Schizosaccharomyces pombe: one gene and its partners. The protein of the gene in region 1 purifies or fractionates together with the protein of each later gene. This does not show direct contact. Each region holds a gene or a part of one and is shown on either strand. Other genes may lie near its edges.

The links.
Region 2: the proteins of las1 (region 1) and grc3 purify together in Schizosaccharomyces pombe (affinity purification with western blotting; one study listed by BioGRID). This does not show direct contact.
Region 3: the proteins of las1 (region 1) and crb3 purify together in Schizosaccharomyces pombe (affinity purification with mass spectrometry; one study listed by BioGRID). This does not show direct contact.
Region 4: the proteins of las1 (region 1) and rix1 purify together in Schizosaccharomyces pombe (affinity purification with mass spectrometry, with the first as the bait; one study listed by BioGRID). This does not show direct contact.

What each region holds. Positions count from the first base shown.
Region 1 is NC_003423.3:4,352,010-4,356,132, forward strand, and holds las1 (rixosome complex/ Las1 complex endonuclease Las1), read right to left. Parts: upstream 2,102-4,123; 5' UTR 2,067-2,101; coding exon 654-2,066; 3' UTR 534-653; downstream 1-533. Other genes in the region: rpl3201 (60S ribosomal protein L32), read left to right, coding at 1-270; sec27 (coatomer beta' subunit protein), read right to left, coding at 2,559-4,123. UniProt on the Schizosaccharomyces pombe protein: Required for both pre-rRNA processing and heterochromatic gene silencing.
Region 2 is NC_003421.2:2,181,631-2,187,918, reverse strand, and holds grc3 (polynucleotide kinase Grc3), read right to left. Parts: upstream 4,320-6,288; 5' UTR 4,113-4,319; coding exon 4,079-4,112; exon of another isoform or gene 4,002-4,078; coding exon 1,825-4,001; 3' UTR 1,197-1,824; coding exon of another isoform or gene 765-1,196; 3' UTR 530-764; downstream 1-529. Other genes in the region: protein mug128, read left to right, coding at 765-1,196. UniProt on the Schizosaccharomyces pombe protein: Polynucleotide 5'-kinase required for both rRNA processing and heterochromatic gene silencing.
Region 3 is NC_003424.3:2,309,752-2,313,957, forward strand, and holds crb3 (rixosome complex WD repeat subunit Crb3), read right to left. Parts: upstream 2,178-4,206; 5' UTR 2,141-2,177; coding exon 1,943-2,140; exon of another isoform or gene 1,821-1,942; coding exon 810-1,820; exon of another isoform or gene 767-809; coding exon 635-766; 3' UTR 520-634; downstream 1-519. Other genes in the region: arb2 (argonaute binding protein 2), read left to right, coding at 1-195, 247-337, 379-464; SPOM_SPAC13G7.09C (uncharacterized protein), read right to left, coding at 2,867-3,274; teb1 (Myb family telomere binding protein), read left to right, coding at 3,995-4,206. UniProt on the Schizosaccharomyces pombe protein: Required for both pre-rRNA processing and heterochromatic gene silencing. Component of the RIX1 complex required for processing of ITS2 sequences from 35S pre-rRNA.
Region 4 is NC_003421.2:435,284-440,259, forward strand, and holds rix1 (ribosome biogenesis protein Rix1), read right to left. Parts: upstream 3,237-4,976; 5' UTR 3,141-3,236; coding exon 654-3,140; 3' UTR 521-653; downstream 1-520. Other genes in the region: hdd1 (metal-dependent HD domain-containing phosphohydrolase), read right to left, coding at 3,781-4,377; rib2 (bifunctional CMP deaminase family methyltransferase/riboflavin-specific deaminase), read right to left, coding at 4,771-4,976.

The DNA of each region.
Region 1 (4,123 bases):
GTCCGTCGTCGTTTCCGTGGTACTATTTCAATGCCCAAAATTGGATATGGTAACAACAAGAAGACCAGATATTGCATGCCTAATGGTCTCAAAGCTTTCCTTGTTCGCAATGTCTCTGATGTCGAACTTTTGTTGATGCACAACAAGACTTATGCAGCCGAGATTGCTTCCAATGTTTCTGCTCGCAAGCGTGTTGAGATTGTTGAGAAGGCTCGTGCTTTGGGTGTCAAAGTCACGAATGCCGGCGCTAAAGTTCGTTCTCAAGAATAAATTTAAAAAGCTATTCCAATCTCTCATAAAATTTAACATAAGTGGCCATGTAAAATGGGTAAATTCCCAATTTCGTAATAATGTCAAGTAAAATGTGTTGGTAATATAAGTATATTGTTCAGATTATTTGAGTCGTATTCAATTAGAATAAATAGTCTCGTACCTGCATTTACACGATATAAGTAAGTCGCACGTCTATCATCACGTGCAACCTATTATTCAAAACGGCATCTATTGTACTTATATTTTACTTAATTTGCTTTGCCATACTCAATTCAGCAACTTAATATTATTATTTTAGACCCAAGATTACCCTCGTGTATATAGACCCAAATAAACTCTATTCAACCTAGCTTTCCTTATATACACATATAATTTTTTTTTTAACTTTCGATTATTTGACCGATGGGGGATGGCTCGACGCTTGGTTTATACCACACATGACCTTGAAACTCCATAGTACTGGAGTCAGCTTGAGCTTCAATGTTATTTAAACGAACTGAAAATTTATTCAATTCCGTTTTCATTTGTTCTAATGTTATGTCTTCAAACTCTTGTTCGTCCAATATTCGGGAATCAAACATATCGCTGCGGTATTGAAACAAGGGAGAAAACTTATTTTCCAGCTCTTTATCTAGAATTGACAATTCATCAATAATTATCTTAGTGAAGGGATCACTTCTTTGAAGACATATTTCTAAAACGGAAGCCAAATCTGTTTGAGTCACAGATAAAGTACTGGTCCATGGCTGACCTGTATACGCTTCACGCATTAAATAAGCATACCATTTTGCTAAATAGCAACCAGCAGATTCTTTATCGGTTAATTCTTCTTTCTCCTTGAGGTCTAGAAATACCAAAGAATCAACGGTTTGGCTAATCTCTAAAATTTCAGACCACAAGGTTGTAAATAATGCAGGTAAAAAGAATGAATGCTTCGAAGCTATACTTTGTAACAGAGGCAGCCATACATTTTTAAGCTTTGGAAAAAAGCTGATTGGCATAGTTCTGGAGGGTATTAAAACACGCTTTTCCAAGAAACAGCTGACGACAATATCTAGATTTGTAGTCTCTATTGCAAAATCCAAATCTTTTTCATCATCGACGAAAGAAGCTGGGATATAAGGTAACCTCAGATTAGCTGTTGTTACCAACTCCTGTACTAATGCTTCAAATTGTTGAATATAGTCATGTTCCTCTACTGGTAGAAACATATTTGCAGAAACATTAACCTTTCTCCAGGAACGCCATTGTTTCAATAAGTCTTTGACTTTTCTTTTTATTTCGAACTTATGCAATTCATTAGTTTCGGTGTAGTCATATGTATCTTCGGATTCAGCTGTTGCAGCGGGATTCCAGTAGTGATCATAAAGCCATGATAATGCTCGTTGCGCAGCTTGTCTTAAAACAGGTAGAGAAGGAAGTTCTTCATGAGTAATGGCGTGTCTCAATTCGACAAAATAAGTAGGTAAATCAATTGATTTGGCTAAAACAGCCATTGGGATGGCGTACTGCGATTGCTGGATAGGATCCAACAAGCCACTTACAAATCTAGATATTGAAACAGCTAATGCTAGCTTTTGCGATCGGTCATTACTTATTAAAGATGAAACTAATTGCGACGTTGATTCCACTGAATGGGGAATACGACCTCGGGTTGACCAAGCCTGAATAATTTCAACACCTCTAAACAAAGCAGCTAAATCAGGTATTCCTTCTTGTCCTTCATTATAAAAGCAAGACATTAAGTAAAGGAAATCTTCCTTTAATCTCCATGGAACGACTTTCATGTCCATTTTTAAAAACTCATGACAAGTGTTGGTAGTTGGCTAAGCGATACTTTACTTATAGACATCACATACGAGAGGAAAATCCTGTATTAGCTTTTACAGTATATTATTGATACGATTTGGTAAAATTAATTAATTCATGTCTGGATATTTGGTATGCAAAAATGCACTTTGTTAACTATTCATTTCTGTCTCACTAACACTTGTAGTGTCAAACTTTAACTATTTGAAGCACTTTTATCACAAAGTAAATCGATATTTTATGATGGCTAAAATGTTTATAACCGGCAATAATATCTACAAACGAAAGGTGGTAACAGCATTGATATTTGCCTCAACCAGAAGATGTCGTATTTGAAATTGTATGTGAAACGTACGACCGTACGGATTCGTAACACAGATTGAAGGTATTATCAGTATGCAAATTAGGAAACGTGAAAATATTACTTAGACAAATACTGTGTCTGTCAAAATACTTGCGTTCCAATGTTGTATTACTTAATTTTTAAGTTCCAAGTCACCCAAAGAATCCGCAATGCGTTCTTTTTGATTCTTAGTTAAGTCAACTTTCCATTCTGGAAGAACATTTTTAACCTCGTCAGGGCAGTAAGTAGCAGCAAACAAGTTAGCTTCAGGATAACGTTGAGTAGATGTAAGTATATTGACGCATTCCGCTGGTTGATTTGTAAGCCATGAGCAGATGAAAGCTGTATTATTTATCTTTGTGGACTTAGTGAGTTGCGATAACTCTTTGAGACCCTCGTGATTGTTGGTTGCAGTATAAAGTAAAACCAAAGATCCATAATCTTTACCTTTCTCAAAGCATTCCTGAGCTAAAACAAAATCCCAAGCATTCAAGGCAGCATCACCCAAAGAACGCCATTTCAGAGGATCATCTAATTCTTGAGCAATTTGAGAAGCAATATCCAATCGTTGAGCGTCTAATGCAAGTTCAAACCGCTGTACAGAATCACCAGATAACTCTAATGCAGCTTCCTTGTATCCTAAACGGGACAAAAAGTCAGACAAACGAGGACGGTCTGTTTCAGAAATTTGCTCCAAAAGACCTTGAGCAGCCTCTAAATCGCCCTTTAGTACCAGTGATTGATATTCAATAATGGCAAGGTTGAAAGAGTAGCTCACTACATTCATATCACGATCCGTGAGGTAAATACGATCGTCACGTGGAATATAGCCAAGCAAATAAAAACTACTTTCAACGTTAGCGATTTTGTAAGTTTGGTCACCGATCAAGTAGTTTAGGCGAGCGGCAGTAGTTGTGTAAATGAAAGTTTCAGCAACCCATTTGCCATTTACTACGCTTTCAGAAACATCAGCAAGTGCTTCAAAGGAATCAGCAACACCTTCCTCTTCATCTGCTGTACCACTTTCCACAGCACTATAAAACATTTCAGCGTTAAAACCGAGAAGGTAAAAGTCATCATCACAAGCTAAAATTACAAATCTGCCATCATCATTCCAATAAACTCCTTTGGGTTTAACATCAATTTTACGAACTAAAATGCCAGTATCCCAATCATAGAAGCAAATAAAATCACTTCCCACAACTCCCAAGAGAAAGCCGCCAAAAATCTTGTCGCAAGAGTAGGACAAATCTAATCTATTGCTTTCTTTAAAATTCTTGTGAATTACGATTGAACGGTCCGATGTACGACTACCGTAGACATTAGAATCGGCAGACCAAGCAAAATCAAGTGCTTTGCCATAAGCTTTATTCCGCCAAGCAAGAGCTGTATAGACAATATACTCACCATTGCCACATACGGAAACAAATCTTCCATTCGGTGAATGTTTCAAAACAGCAGGATACAATTCCGTAGTACCCAATTCTTTCACAGAAAGACTGATAAGAGAGCCATCTGTAAGATCGCTCTGCTCTTTTGCCGGTCTAATCATAGCGGACATAACTTCATTATAGTTAGACCAAACAACTTTTCCTGATGAATCCATAGTAACAGAAGGCTCGTCACGGCCAAGAGAGAAAGTTATGAGTCCATTGTCAAAACCGACTGTTACCAAGCCATTGTCCTTATTCTGCGCAA
Region 2 (6,288 bases), on another chromosome or scaffold:
CTATAACCATTTACTTTAGTTCTCTGAGCTTATTTTTTAGAAAATCATCCACTAACTATATGTCTCTCTCATTGCTACAAGATACAATAGCAAATATGAAGAAGAGTCATATCGAATTTATAATGCTCACTCTTAGTTTCCATAGTATGTGTTAATAAGGCGTACTTCTAGCAATTATGATTGCAGTAGGAGATTTAGAAATTATCGACTTAATTGAATATCAATAACCTTTATCTTTTTATTGTTGTTACTTTCAATTATAAAAAACTTGAAACAACTTTTTTAACTGAACTGACAAATTTTAGGTTCATCATAACGACTTTGGGGATTCAATTAAAGTCATTAAGTATATGAATGATTAATAGATTTACTGTTTAGCTTTTATGAAAATAAAAAACTAGTAATACTCACATGCATACTATTCACTTCATTGTTTACACTTAACTATTTACCAACAACTTCTTTAGTCACGTAAACTTCAACACTACCAAACGAAGATATAAAACATCTGCAATAATAAATCAGTCAAGGTACTAATTGATATATTGCTTTGGTAATATTACCAATTAAACATTCTTTTATATTTTAAATTTTAAAACAACACTCTTAACAGCCGCTCGATTCCATTTTAAATGCACAATTTTATAGCGAAAAGACTATTCAGGCCCAAAAACAGGCGCTACAAATCTCTCAAACGATGCGTACGTTCGGCGACGTATCGAATTTATTGTAGAATGGTCGACTGTCTGCAAAGCATCATAAACATGGAATATGCCAATTTGCATTATGTAAAGGAATCATCAAACCTTGAGCGTTCTTCAACTTACAAGAGCTCAAAAATTCAAGATGAAGCAAAGCAACTGTTATATGATTATGTGTACATTAAAGAAAAGTTACTGACAACATCTTCAAACAGCTTGACTCATTATCAATGGTATTTAATATACAAACATACGTGTCGCTGCTTTCAACAAGTCGTTCGTATAGTCTATTGGTTTTTGGGAAATCAAGTAATACGAGAGAATTTCAGTATCAAAAAAAGAAAACCACACAATCACATTCCCCAATTGCTAGAACAGTGCACTTGCATAGCTGAATCCTTCGAAGGGATTTATACGAAAAAGCAAATACTATACTTCAAATGTTATGGCACTTTCAAAACGTGGAAAAAAATAGCCAATTTTCCTCACCTTTAGAGAAAGGAAAATTGAAAAGTTGAATGATTACATACAGATACACAACCATTGAAAATGTACTCTGAATAAAATCAAAAAAACTCAACAGCAAAACCATCTCTAAAAGTTAATTAAAATAGTCAATCGGTAATCCGGAATATCGAAACCAAGCTTCAAACCGTTAGTCAGAATATGCTAAATTACCAAAGTAGATTCTTAAACATAGTGAAAATTCAAATGCCTTATAAATTTGCATATACAGTGTAGAAAAACTCAACATACCAGTGATATGGCAGTAAGTATGAAAGTATCCTAATGCATAACTTTTGCTGCCAACAAAAGACCATCGGAGCTTAACCATCGATATGCAGTCTCGCAATAAGCATAGTACTCAATGTTCCCAGACCAGTTCGCCGAAGAACGTAAATTGTACTTGCATTGGAGTAATCTAAAACAAATTCAAATCACGATTTTTTCTTAAGAAACAATAAATATAAATAAATTTCACTATTGTCCTTTTTAACCGCCAAAAAAAAATAAGAAAAAGTATATTTCATATAGTTTGTATTCAGCTGCCCAAAATAATTTCTAGCAGGTATGCAAAAAGCGTAGCCGTCTTCAGAAATTCGTAAAACATAAGATTTGGGTATCATCCAACGAAAGTACTACGACGGATAATGTTACGGCGAACGCGCCTACGATGAGCGCCAACAGCCACCCGATCGTGATTTCGATCGAGGTATGGCAATTCCGAGTATTGTGCTAAACGGTGATCCAACATTGCGTACACTGGAAGCTCTAACCTTCCTCTTTCAAGGACAATTTTCAAGCTCTTTGCATAGGCATCTTTAATAAGCTCAAGATTAAGAGGACCAACAAAATGAAATTCGTTACGTTTGAGATCAATAGTGCGTAGCACGATTAAACCTAGGCAATGAGACGTATTGGGATCCAAAGGAAGTCCATCATTGATGATTAATGGTATCCCTTCAGGACTACTAACAATCCGTTGTGTGTTACTGTTATCTAAAGAGGCAGTGTCGCAGGCATAAAGTGCCATTAAAGTACCATTAATAGTTTTCGCGACATCATTAACATTAAGAGGTTCACCTATAATATTAACAGCATCTATTCCCTTAGAAGATCCCTTAAAAGCTGTGGCTATAGGTTGACAAGCTGTCAAACTTGTCGTAAAGTCCCACCTCTGTAAATTGCAATTGAAATACAGATAGGAAAGTAAGCCTAACATACGATTATCAGCAGAGGTAACCTTGTTAACGTTGGGATCAGGCAGATACTGCCAAGTTGATTCCAAGAGGGTAAGTTGAAACTCATCTCTGCTTGAAAGAAAATCAGGCATATATTCTTTGTGCTGGTAAATACTCTTTTTTTCACGATGACTTGATTTCATGTCTTCACGACTCATGTATACAACTTCTGTTGGTTGACATATATCAACAATAGAAGAAAGAAGCTCAGCACCACCCCCTCTGATCCAACCTGGACAATTTATTATCAAAGGAATAATCTCCTTTTGGGATATCTCTTGATTAAAAATATAATCTTTATATTCAGCAAAAAGACGAGTAACACAAGCAATGTAATGATCCGGATCTTTCTGGGGACTTATATCTCCGAGATGCAAACGTAACATGTAAGTAGGAAAGAGCATTCGGGCGAAAACAGGTCCTTGCAATGGTGAGTTAATATAATATAATGAAATGTGCCCAGAAGGTACGACTTCGGGTTGACCAGGGTCGAGGTCAAGATATGCAATGTGACGATACTGCTGTAAAAGCCTATTGGTGATGTATCGTGAAAAACTGCTTTTACCGGATCCTTTAGGTCCACAAACCATAAGACGAGGAACAACATAGTCTGACTTGGAAGTGGAAAACAGTAACTGGTTAGAAAAAGAACACCAAGACTCCGGAGTTATCTCAAAATTATTTGATATTGATGAGGCATCTTGCAAAAGATTCTTAAAAGAAAACAAACGCTTTGCAAATGGAAGGACACGAGCTATCTTAGAGAGACCATTTTCATTTTCTCTAAAAGCTATTACAGTTTCAAAATTTGGGAGAATATCTTTGGGCTCTAATTCATATTCATGCTCTTTTGGTGAGTAAGAGGGAACTGCAAAGGAACGAAGGTTAAGGGAATCTTCTTCATATTCGGAAATCTGCATAGCAGGTAATGCATTGTCTATAGCAGAAAATACTGGTGTCGCAAATGCTAACGGAGCATTTAAAGGAAACCAAGACATACAAGCTGAAGAATAGGTTGCACCAAAGAGCTGAAACTTCCCTCTAACGCTACGAAAAATGAAGGTACCAACCATTGCTAATTTTTGATCTTTATGTAATCCAACGTATAGCGTATCTTTAACCCTGAATGAATTTTCTTCCGTAATTTTAATCACCGGAATGGCATCGTTAGACGATTGTGGGCTATGTGGAACGTTTTCACTTACGGTTTCGTCGTCCAAGTTTAAAGGTAAACTCGGAGAAATCGTTTGAGGACTAGCAACTGAGAATTCAGAGTATTCCTGAGGATTAACCTTGGACCTATTTATATCAGGAGTTATTTCAGAATCATTCTTGGATGACTCTGAATGGAGCTTTGTTCTATGATCAACTCCTGGGACAACCACTTGTACGAGCGTGTGCTTGTAAGAAGGAAATTCGCCTTCAGTTTTCATTTCGTCTTCATATTTGTCTTGGCTTTCTTCTTCCGAAACGCTGCGCTTTTTCCCCGATGAATTGTCTTTCTTTCTGGCTGCTTTACTTAAAGTCAATTGACGCACAGCGAATGCACTGAGTGGAACTGTCATAGAACTGTTAGAATATTATCCTAGAAAAGATATAAGAGAGCCAATACTTAAGACTAACTAAGACACTTACCATTTGAGCTCTCAATACGTTGACGCTTGACCATTATGGTAGAAGCTTATTAAATAAATAACTAAGTTTTCCTTTTTTTTTTTAAAAGTGCAATTCACACGAATGTGAACAAGCAAGCGCTTTGGATCTTAATTCAATTAACAACAATCCACCATAAACTAACAATCAATAACAAAAGTTAATTTAGAAAATTTAGCTATGTTTTGTAAACAGATAATAAAATTTTTTCTTCTTATTGCACAGCGAGAAAGAGTAAATAGAGGAAATACCAAGTAAAGTACGATATCTGTAATTTGGGAAATAGTGATTAACGGTATATTTTTATAACAAAATGTAACAGCACGGTATTCCTTTTTTGGTAGTAACATAACGATAATACCAGCTTGCTTTAACTAGTAGCTTCTTATTAATATTGAAACAATGAAGAATTAATCGTTATACCTTGAAAAAAAGGAAAGAATATAATACTCGTTAAAAATCAGTTATTGAAGTTAATAGATATTTAGACTATAACTGTAGTGATAATTATAATTGGGACGAACACCCGAGTTTTTTTTATTCTATCAGTTGACCCAACAGTTAGGTTATGAACTGTTGCTTTCGATGTGGATAAAAGTATTAGAATATAAATCATTAGTCTCTTTGATTTATATATTGAAAATTTCCACAAAATATGTGTCAATCAAAGTCATATCGCCCACTCAGCTTATGCATCATTAGGAAACTCAACATAAAACCAGTATATACGTTTACTGCGTTATTAGATATTCACTATTGCAATGTGTCTTTAGGTTATTACTATAACAAACCATCGTTCTGAATCACAATATTTTATTATGCTATTCATTATTTTGTAAACATTAATTTTGTTTGAATTGAACCATTAAACAAAAAGAAAAAATGATAATTAAGCTTGATTCATTAAGAATCAAGATGAAGGAGAAATGAACGTAATAACGACAATGAAATTGTGAATTTAACAAGGCGGAACAACGAGTTTTTCGATTTCATTAGTTGATTTTAAGTTGTCGTAAACAATTTAAATCATTATTGTTTGTGACTTGAGTTCCATTAAAAAAGACAAATAATTAGACTCGCATACATAATAAATAAAGACTCGGTCCTCAATGCACTTTATCCAACATCGTAGAATACATTGGTTGGCAATTTTTGGTAATTGAAAGAATAAGTTAAGCATATATTCCATAACCTTATAGTGAAAGAGGATGATTAAAGAAAATTGGTGCTTATTTTTAAAAAAGCCGCAGCTTCTCTGCGTTGGTAATTTTGGTAAAGAGGTTTTCCAACTGGAGCGACAACTACATTAATAACGCAATTAGACTTCGCTTTCAACTTCCATTTCCCCCAAGGGAATGTCATTATTATCGTTGGCACCTCTAATCGCTCTCCCTGCACCTTCTAATCGGGTAAGTAAAGAATCATTCATACAGTTGGTTGAATACACATACCTAATATAAAAGCTATACCATTCCTGATAAATTTGGGCATCCTTTTGAGAGCACCTGGACATTCTGATACGATTAGAATAAATTACAGGAATATTAAACAAACCCATTTCGTAAAAGAAAAGAAAATTGCCTATAACAAAGAGTGAAGAGGCTACAATTTCGTAGCCTGTCCCGTCGATATGTTTGTCAAATAAATGCATCAAACCTTTCGTTACAATAACGACACAACTTTGTACACCTAGAACTTGAAAAAACCCAGAAAACATATGCTTAAGTGTCCAGAATGGAAGACGAACTGCGTGTTAGCGGTCAGTAATGGTAACTACATAACTTCACATACCATATAATAAAAATAAAAGTAAAGCAGCTGAAATACTGCATGTAGAACAGATGAGAGTCTTGTCTAAGTTCACATTACCGAATTTGACGCAACCAAAGAGTACAAAACAAATGACTACCCATAATAACCAGATTATTACAACCCATTTTTCCCTTGAGTTGTACAAGCCGACCGCAGTTACCTTGACACATTGTGCCACTGCCTGGTCCAAGTTTCAAAGAAGCCTAATGAGTTAGTGAATGAACGTAAGAATTGACCTATCGTGTCACTTACACCATAAAGAAATAAAAATCATCAGGCAAATAGCACACCACACTCCAAAATATACCCATTCATCTTTGCCATAATCTTTAAAGAGAGCGTCCTTATACGTTAGATAACAAATTGCGGGTACGTTTAGC
Region 3 (4,206 bases), on another chromosome or scaffold:
AACTATGTAATGTCCAATTCAGTGAGCACTAAAATACACTTTGTGGGTTCTGAATATGGATCGTATTTGCTGAATTCTTACTTGGACTTGAATTGGAAGAAATTTTCTGGCAAAGCGGGAGCTATACTTTTAATTATGAATATGAGCATTAATGAAGAGCTTCATGACCCCGACTATGTTAGCTACCTGATAGAAGTGAGAAAATAATCTTTTCAAATGGAAATAAATAATAACTAAGACTTTCAGCATGCACGAAATTATCTCCCTTCACATGAGCCTTGTCGACATTTAATGAATAGCATAATGACCGAAAGCGGCATACCTAACTTTTCAGCAGGTATGGAAACCTTGACTTAGAACAAAATTTTAACAAGTTAGGAAAATATATCGATGAATTCTATGACTACATTGGCGATGTTTTGCTTGAGATGATTGCTCTCGACACTAATACAAGTAAAAGCTGAAGACAGAGAACAAAATAGTTAACGATAAAAAATTAATTCAACATATTTAATAAAATTTTCCAATGAGATTATAACAAAAGGGCTACAACAATTAGAACCCCGTTGCTACAAAAGTGTAATTATTCCAATCCCTTATAATTTTATTCAAATTTTTAACCTAACAAAAAAAGTTACTTTTGCAGGTATTTTTCCCATAACGCTTGATGAATTTGCTTTAATTCATAAAATAATCTTTTTGCTTCCTTGAGCTGCATTTCACTGGTTTCAGCTTTGGCACGCCAACTGGACTCTGAGCCTTGTGTCTAAAAATTATGTTAGTTCAAAATCTTTAAGAAGTGGACATACGACAATATCAGAGCTGATTTTGAGAATATTTTCCGGTTGCATCAGCTGCTCTACCCCATCATCTTGAATGCAAATTCGAACATCTGAATTTAAGTACTCATTTGTAATCATGCGCTTTAAAACTGGAAAAGAAAGTGAAGAGTTTGAATAAAATGATATCTTGTCGACCTTGCATTGAAGAAAAGAGACCGGCGAATAATACTGAACGAGGCGGCGCAAAACTTGTCGAGAAACACTATCCCAAACCAAAACATTACCATCCTTATCACCACTAATGAGTAGAGAAGCATCAAAGGAAACAGTCAACGTGGTTATTGGGGATTGACACGATATAATACTTGATTCTCTACTGTCGTTATAATCTACAACTCGACCCATACCTCCGATGGCGTTTGGAATAGTAGTATTATCAACAGACGTAACTCTTTTTTTCTCTTTAACGTTGTTAGAAAAAGTGGATGATCCTGTGTATAATGGAATCCATATTATTCCCTTTTCGTTACCAACGTAGACAACACGTTCGGAAGGATCCACGGTCATGCAACTGGGAGTTGAGGGAAGAGCAATCGTTGTCAAAAGGTTTCCTGTAGAAACATCCCAAATCCTTATTGTGTTGTCTTCCGAAGCCGTGTAAAGTCGACCACTAACGATGGGACCAGGGCCAATTTCCATAGACACGATAGAACGCTTATGACCAGAGAAATGAGAAATCGCTTTAACTGAACTATTACTTGTTTCAAAAGTAGAGTTTTGGTCTACCAAAGTGCTTATCAACCAAGCGAATACATCACCATCGTTGGAAGCAGTGAATAAAACCATACCATCATTGGAAAATTTCAAAATGGTCAAAGGTTGGTAGTGTGCTCTGAAGAAATAAATAAGAGCACCGGATTTTAATGACCATATGTACAAATTTCCTTTTTCTGTGCCTGCTGCCAGCCAAGAACCACAAGGACTCGATTGCACACAAATAAGTATTTCAGGTAAAATGATTGATTGATCCAAAATTTCCTACACTTGTATTAGTTTTACTCATTTAAAATGTGTTTAGCTACTTTAGCTTGAAATTAGCTGTAAAACTGCTGTTATAAACGAAGTAAGCGTACAACTAATGCAGTGCAGAGAGAACCTACCTTTCCAAAATTGTGAATATTCAGCTGTGGACGGGTATGTTGAGCAGATAGCAAATGATTCAAAGTAGTACATGTCGCGTTTTTAGCAGGTGAGCTTTGACGGAATGTGCTCACCAGGGTACCGGTATGTAGATTGTGGCATAGAACATTACTTGGTTCACCCTCAATAGCTTCACAGCCAGAAAGAAGCAGCTCCATAAACCTTGAAATGCGTGTTGAATAAACGCAAATCGCTGAACTGAAATGTTAGCAACAAAGCGAAATTTGCAAGAAAAGTCGTGTTGGACTACATTGCTAAATTAACCGAATTCAACCGCATTTCGTTAAAATGACTGTTTACTCTATTTTCTAGAGCAAGCATAATTGTAGACAAATTATCTAAGTCAGCTATTTACGTTTCCAAATTGATATAATGGGCTGTTTGGAAACTATATTAGTTTTATTTGTACCCAATCAAACGTATATTGATTTCGACTATACTGTTGGAAAATTTCTGACTTTAGTGGTGTAAATATGTTTAATGTTTACATTTTCGCTACACGATTTCATGCAATGCTTTTCAATTAACCAAGAAAAGGTTACTTTATTGCTAACAGAAGAATTGATTTAATTCTTAAACATTTGTAACAATATTTTAATGCATGTATAAATATAGATTAAGCCAAATTTCGGTGTCAATATGAGGATCATCCGTTTAAAGTTTGTTAAAAATAACTAAACGGTTCAATCAAAAGGCATAGGAATTGAAGGATTTGAACGTGATATTTTTAAATGATATTCGTTTTTGGATAAAAATGTATAATGTATAATGATAAGCTCAAGTGGTGATATATAAAATCCCCAAATGAAACCACACAAAGAGATTAATCAGAAATGAAGAAATATAGTTATTATTTTCTGGGAGACATTATTAAAAATTTAAGATTAAACTTTCTCAATTTTTAATTGCCCTTTCTGGCTAACACGCTTTTCACGAGACCCCGGTTCATCTAAATCCGGCGTTTCTTTATAAAGTCTTTTTTTCTTACTAGTGGGCCGAGGAACATCGATTCTCCTAGACAACCTTTCTGAGGAGACATTTAAATCGTTATCTTGTTTAATGCTTATGAGTTGCTTACGCTTTTGGTCACGTCTCCGATTATTTATTCCACGATTATGGGATTGAACATTTCTCACCATATTATTCAAAAAAACTTTATTAGGGCGAAGTTTTGTTTTTTCCTTTTCAATATAGCCATGGTCGACAAACGACTTGTTCTTTTTTTTAGATTCGTGAATTAACAGTTTAGCAACAAACTCATCAAAGTTGAGTCTGTCAAGTGATGATTCCATGATGAGTATTATTAATGTAAATCATTTATTATCATTTCATTTAGGTAATTTGGCAATAATTAAGTGGATAAAGTGTGGATGCAGGAATTAAGAAGTGGTGGTGTTCCTGCCTAGTGTATAAACTATGAGAAATCAGCACGATCCCACATCACGGTAAAATGTTGAAATAAGGCATATGCTAAGTACACATGATTTATTCGAATTATTCAGTAAGCATCAAATGAATCTTAGTTACAAACAGATAGCTAATATTTTTCAAACTTACGGCATTAAGAATTAGCGTTAGGCCAAACTGATATACTAACTACATTTAGTTACTACTTTGCTTATATGTACAAGCTGGTCAGTTATTTAAACATCTTACCATTCTGGAATTTGAAAATTAAATGTTAAGCTAGTTCAATTCAGAGTATGTCTATTCAGTATAACCTGTATTTTTTTAAGATTTTTATGTTTATAAAAAATAAAGATGTATCAACTGTCTTTTAGCTAACCTATTGTTGGTTTGTTTACTCACCTCAACATTATGGTGGCCAATGTGGGGGCCACGAACTTCTTGTTATTGATTTCCTGACTTGGCATTTGCATATATATATAGGCGTTGAAACATCTAATTGTACATTAGAGTCACCACTAGGGAATTGTTGAAGGTTTCTTGTACATAACCAAAAACCCCATAAAAAATTATATCGTAACTTCTCTTTTGTAATCAAGTTGACCATGAGGTCTATGAAACCTCCAGGGTTTTCATCAGATCTTATGGATGAGCATTCTGTCGACTTGTTGAATGGGTCCATTTTGGCAGCTGAAAATCCCTCTAAAAGGGAGGTAGCTCAAGATGTTCCAGGATTCGAGAGAAAGCCTACGAAAGTGAGAAAGCCTCGAGTAAAATGGACTGAGAAAGAAACTAACGATTTACTACGGGGATGTCA
Region 4 (4,976 bases), on another chromosome or scaffold:
AATGAATGGTATCTTCATATAAAAAAAGTCTATTTGGAGAATTTTGGATCCTTCAACAAATTTATTTGAAGTACTTAATGTTCTTTCTTAATTTTTCTCATAAAACCATGTGTCAAGCAATGAAGGATTTAAATATTGTTGGCAAAAGAAATGTTGCAATCACTAATTCAAGTTTGTTTAGAAGCTTGCATTATATAGTTATCGACTTTTCTTTTGCCTTTGGAAAGGGATATCTTCATTATTCTTAATGAAACAGTATAAAATTCTTTTAAACACTAGACTAGATAAGTTGTTTTAATTCTTTCTCAAAAAACATAAACGACAGTCTAACTCTAAAATAATCGGGATTTTTGTGACACCAATGGTATAAAAATGATTAATTAAAAATTTTTGCGGATAACACAAGACTTTGTACTTTGTATTACTGGAAAATTTAGCTAATTAAAAAGGAGAACACATAAGCAATGTATTCTGGAGGTCAAAATCAATTGATTTTAACCTCCAAATATCAGCTTGATGTACCTTTTTTGCCATGACGATAATACATACAGGACTTTATAAAAATCAGCTTGGATTAAATGACAACCTACTTATCTAGAAATAGAATTTAAAATAAACATTCAGTACCCCCAAATCCTTTTTATAAATTAAGACTAACTATCACTATCAGATTCCAAGTTTATACTTGGCAAAGAGATATTGTCTTCCTCCTCATCATCTTCTCCGTTTCCTTCCACATTAATAGAAGTCGTTTTCTCATCTACGACATCCGTTGTTTTTTCAAAAGTTTCGACGACTGAAGAAGTTGTGTTTCCATTTTCATCACCATTTATGTTTTCAATTTGGCTTGAAACTACACTAGTAGGTCGGTCAACAAAGTCAACGTCTATAGCAGTAAATTTGGTTTCAGTGTCCTGAGAATTGTTTAATGCAACATTTGTAGTCTCCTCAACCTCAACATCTCCATGCAACAGTGAAACAGTTGTTTCCTTGTTTTCCGAAACAATGTTAATGTGATCAGTCCCGTGATTAATAGTTGAAGGTTGAGAAGAGTTGATTTCACTACCTTCTTCATTTCTGTCACCCTCATTAGAAAGAACATTAGACATAGTCAGCTCTGATTCGCTTCTTTTGTTCTCGGAGGTAGCTGTAGAATTATTCTGTAAGCCTGTATCTGTAGATGCAAAAGACTCTTTGATCCCTTCAATTTCAGTGGAATCTGTAATCGACTCTGTTTCAAAGGGAGGATTTGATGGAGCCAAAATACTACTTTCTTTATACTCTGATTGAGAATCCACCTGGGGTGGAGAAATATGCGATTGGTTTTCAAGAGAAACAGGCTCAAATCTTGACTCAAACGTATTTTCAAATTCGCTTGGTGAAAGATGTTTTTGCAAAGGTGGGAACCTAGGATGAATCAGCGATTCTATTGTTTGCATCGATGACCTTGCGTGTGAAGCGACCAGAGGATCTGGATGTACAAGCCCTAATGGACCAGAAATTATACGTATTGCATGAGGTACTATCACTGCTTGTGAATCTCCCGGTGATAAAATTGACGCAAGGAGTAAATTATGCATAGATATCAAAACTGTTGAGGTAGGGTTAGACAAAGATATCTGCAAGGTGCAAAGATCTATTTTGGTCCGTAATAAACGTGGTAATGCTATTGAATGAGTCAAAATGGATGCTAAAAAAGAAAAACAACAATCCATGACATCTGAATCATAAAGCTGATGAGACTCTTCCGAACTCATAAGTGTATCTCCTGCTTGACTTTCAGAAAGTGTTTTTCGCTTTTTTTGAGAATGCCCACGATTTTTAGAGAACTCTATGGATTTGGATGCTAAACCTTTAGAGGAATTAGCAAGATATTCTAATACCAGCGTTACAATATTTTCGTATTTTGAAAGAGGGACATTCATATGTGTCACATCCAAAAACTTTGAAAGTAACTTTAAAGAAGAGCATAAAACCCCAGTATGTGTTGACTCAGAAAGTAAACAATCATTTAATGAATCCAGGTAAGAATCAAATGAAAGAATGATAGCTGGAGGAATTACCACAAAAAGCTTTAAGGTTAACTCATTAACTAGCGTATGCAAATGAGGAAGGACCATGAATAGCAAAGCTTGAACTGAACTTTCTACGCTTTTAACAGGCAATGAAAGTTGTACAGTATAAACACGTTGAATTAAATCCTTCAAAGCATTTATGGGAAGCAAAACGATTTTATCCGTCTTTGTACTTAAAAAAGAAATTAAAATCAAGTTTAGAGTTCTGCATCTGTGTAAAGCTTTCTGATAAGTTTCTTCGTAGTGGCCTTTGAGTTTTGGAAACATCAAATTCTCTTCACGAGTTGGGTATGTTTGCGGTTCTATAACAAATTGAAACAAAAAATCCAAAGTAAGATGATATTCCTTTAGGATTGAAATAATACTTTGCTTCCAATAGTCTTCAAAATTTCCTTTCCCCACACATCGATACAACGAAGCATAAAGAACAGCTGCTTTCTTCTGTAATGAAGAAGGGACTACTTCTTCCCCATCTAAAATTTTAATGCAAATATTCCTTATTGAGGAAACAAATGGACGAAAGGTAGGTGAATGCGAGATGATCCCTTGATACAAACAAGAACAAACAGTACAAAGACACTTCCCAGATTCGGCGATTCGTAAGCAATTATTCACAAATGTGGGTAAATTAGGAGTCACCAATTCTCTTGTAACTGCTGGTCTTCCTACAGTAGAGCTAAACATTTTTGATACGGTTATCATGGCAATCTCCAATGTTTTAGGAGTTTCTGGTCGGTTTAACAAAGCAATTAAAAGTTTTGCCCAAGTAGCTCCATGCTCTACTAAGCAATCCCAACTTTGAGAAATAGTGCAGTGAATGAGAATAATAGCTGACCAGCGAATACGAAAGTCTTTTGATTGTAACATTTTTGTTAAACTCGTGCACCAATTCTTGCGAACGGAAAGAGCATTTTCACTCGTTCCTAATCTTTCGATACATTTTTGATGTACCAGTATGTCCGCTATTTGAGGCACCTGAAATGGTAAGTCTTCTTCATTCGCAAAAGTTATTGCCAACCAAGATTTCACAAGAGGAAGAGAGCCACGTTCTAATAAATCACTCATCTAAGATTTCTTTATTCAACGGAGTAACAAAAAAACAATATTTCCGTTTTCTTAAAGAAATTACTTGCTAAATCTCGAGCTTGTGGTGTAGGTTCTGAACTACTCGTGCGTTAAGGAAAGTCTTGCTAGGGAGAAAAGGTTAAAAATTTTTGAGAAGTAAAATCCTTTTAAACTTGAGAATGTTTAACTCAATATTAGTATTTTATAATGACCAAGGAATGTAAATTACCTCAAAGCTTAAGTCTACAAAAAAATTCAGATAGCAAAGTGATTTTATGAACTTCTTGAAATGTGCTGTAAAGAATTCATTTTTTATTGAACGAATAATTATAAAGAAACAAGACTTAATCGTAGATGTATTTAAGTTATATTTAGCTAAGTTGGGAGAACGTAAATGATAGAACCTAGAAAAGTAAAGCATTTGAAGAGTAAAAACATATCAGAAGATAGCACCATTAAACTAAGCTCTAATGTTGAACTTCTATTAAATGTATCTATGTATAAAAAAAAAGAGAGACTATTGGTATATTGAATAATGGGCCTTGAAGATACTAGAGCGAATTCCTAAGAAATATTTCTTCTTAACTGTTTCTCTCAACTGCACACTTAAATACAGGGAAAGTATCGCTTTTCTTATCAGTTAAAGCTTCTTTTGACGGACCGAAGCCCAAAATTGCTCACGCTCCTGTAACACATCATTGAGCCAACCTTTAACAAGAGGATGTTGAATTAATTTACCGGCCCAAGTGAACTGTGACAAATCTTTCTCACCATTAAATTTCCTTTCGTACTCAAACATTTGAGCAATCATTTCAAATTTATCAATGTCCTTGACAAACTTAGCTTCGGGAGTGGAAGCAGACTCATACTCTAAAAATAGCTCTTTAATCTCCTCAGCTTGTAAGGAAAGGTTTAAGGGGATCAGTTGCTGGGTGATAGAAACCATCGCTTCCGACTCCATACGATGCTTTTCCTCTTTCGAAACATTCTCGTGAGGTGTTATATCACCAACAATTGACTCAGCCATATCATGCACTACGGCAATCTTTAGACAACGTTCCTTGTTGATGCTTGGGTCATTACATAACATAGTCAAAATCCCCATTCTATACATATGGTCGGCAATGGATTCCGGCTTTTCGATGCCATGATATAGCCAGCCAGTACGTGGAGTAGTCTTAAGCCTTGACAAACAATCTAAGAATGGAACAATAGATAAAGATTTGGCTGCATTCATTTTGAAAGGGGAGTTAAATTTTTTTCTGAAAAAAACAAAACAGAGTATAAAACGGATAAATCCAAATTAAATATTATAAAAACACAAAAATAAAAAGAAATCCAAAAAGTTTTTAACAGCAGATTTATACAAATCAGCCACTTAGGCCAACGCAGGTGGTATTTGCTCAGGGTAAGTGAAGAAAGCAAAGAAGGAAATTATTTTCGATTTAGAAATCATAGAAAAAAGAAATCATTATGTGGGGAATTTCGTGTTATTTTAATTTAATGATCAAAAAAAATGATGAACTATGCATGGCCTAAATAGTCTCTCAGAAAAACGATAATTTAGGGTTGATAGTCATATACCAGCGACGTCGTCTAAATGTTTAAAGAATAAAAAAAATTAATAAAATTAGTGCTTTGGGGGGTGACCACGAACTGCTTCACGTAAGCAATCGTCTTGAAAAGTCAGTTTCTCGATAACAACTATTCCAGCTTTCTTGAGTAAATCCACACCTTCACATTTTACGAATATATCAGGCTCCAGAGATCCCAAAACTACCGTAGAAAACTTTTGCTTAACAATAAGATCTGTACAAGACACTTTTTTTGATAACC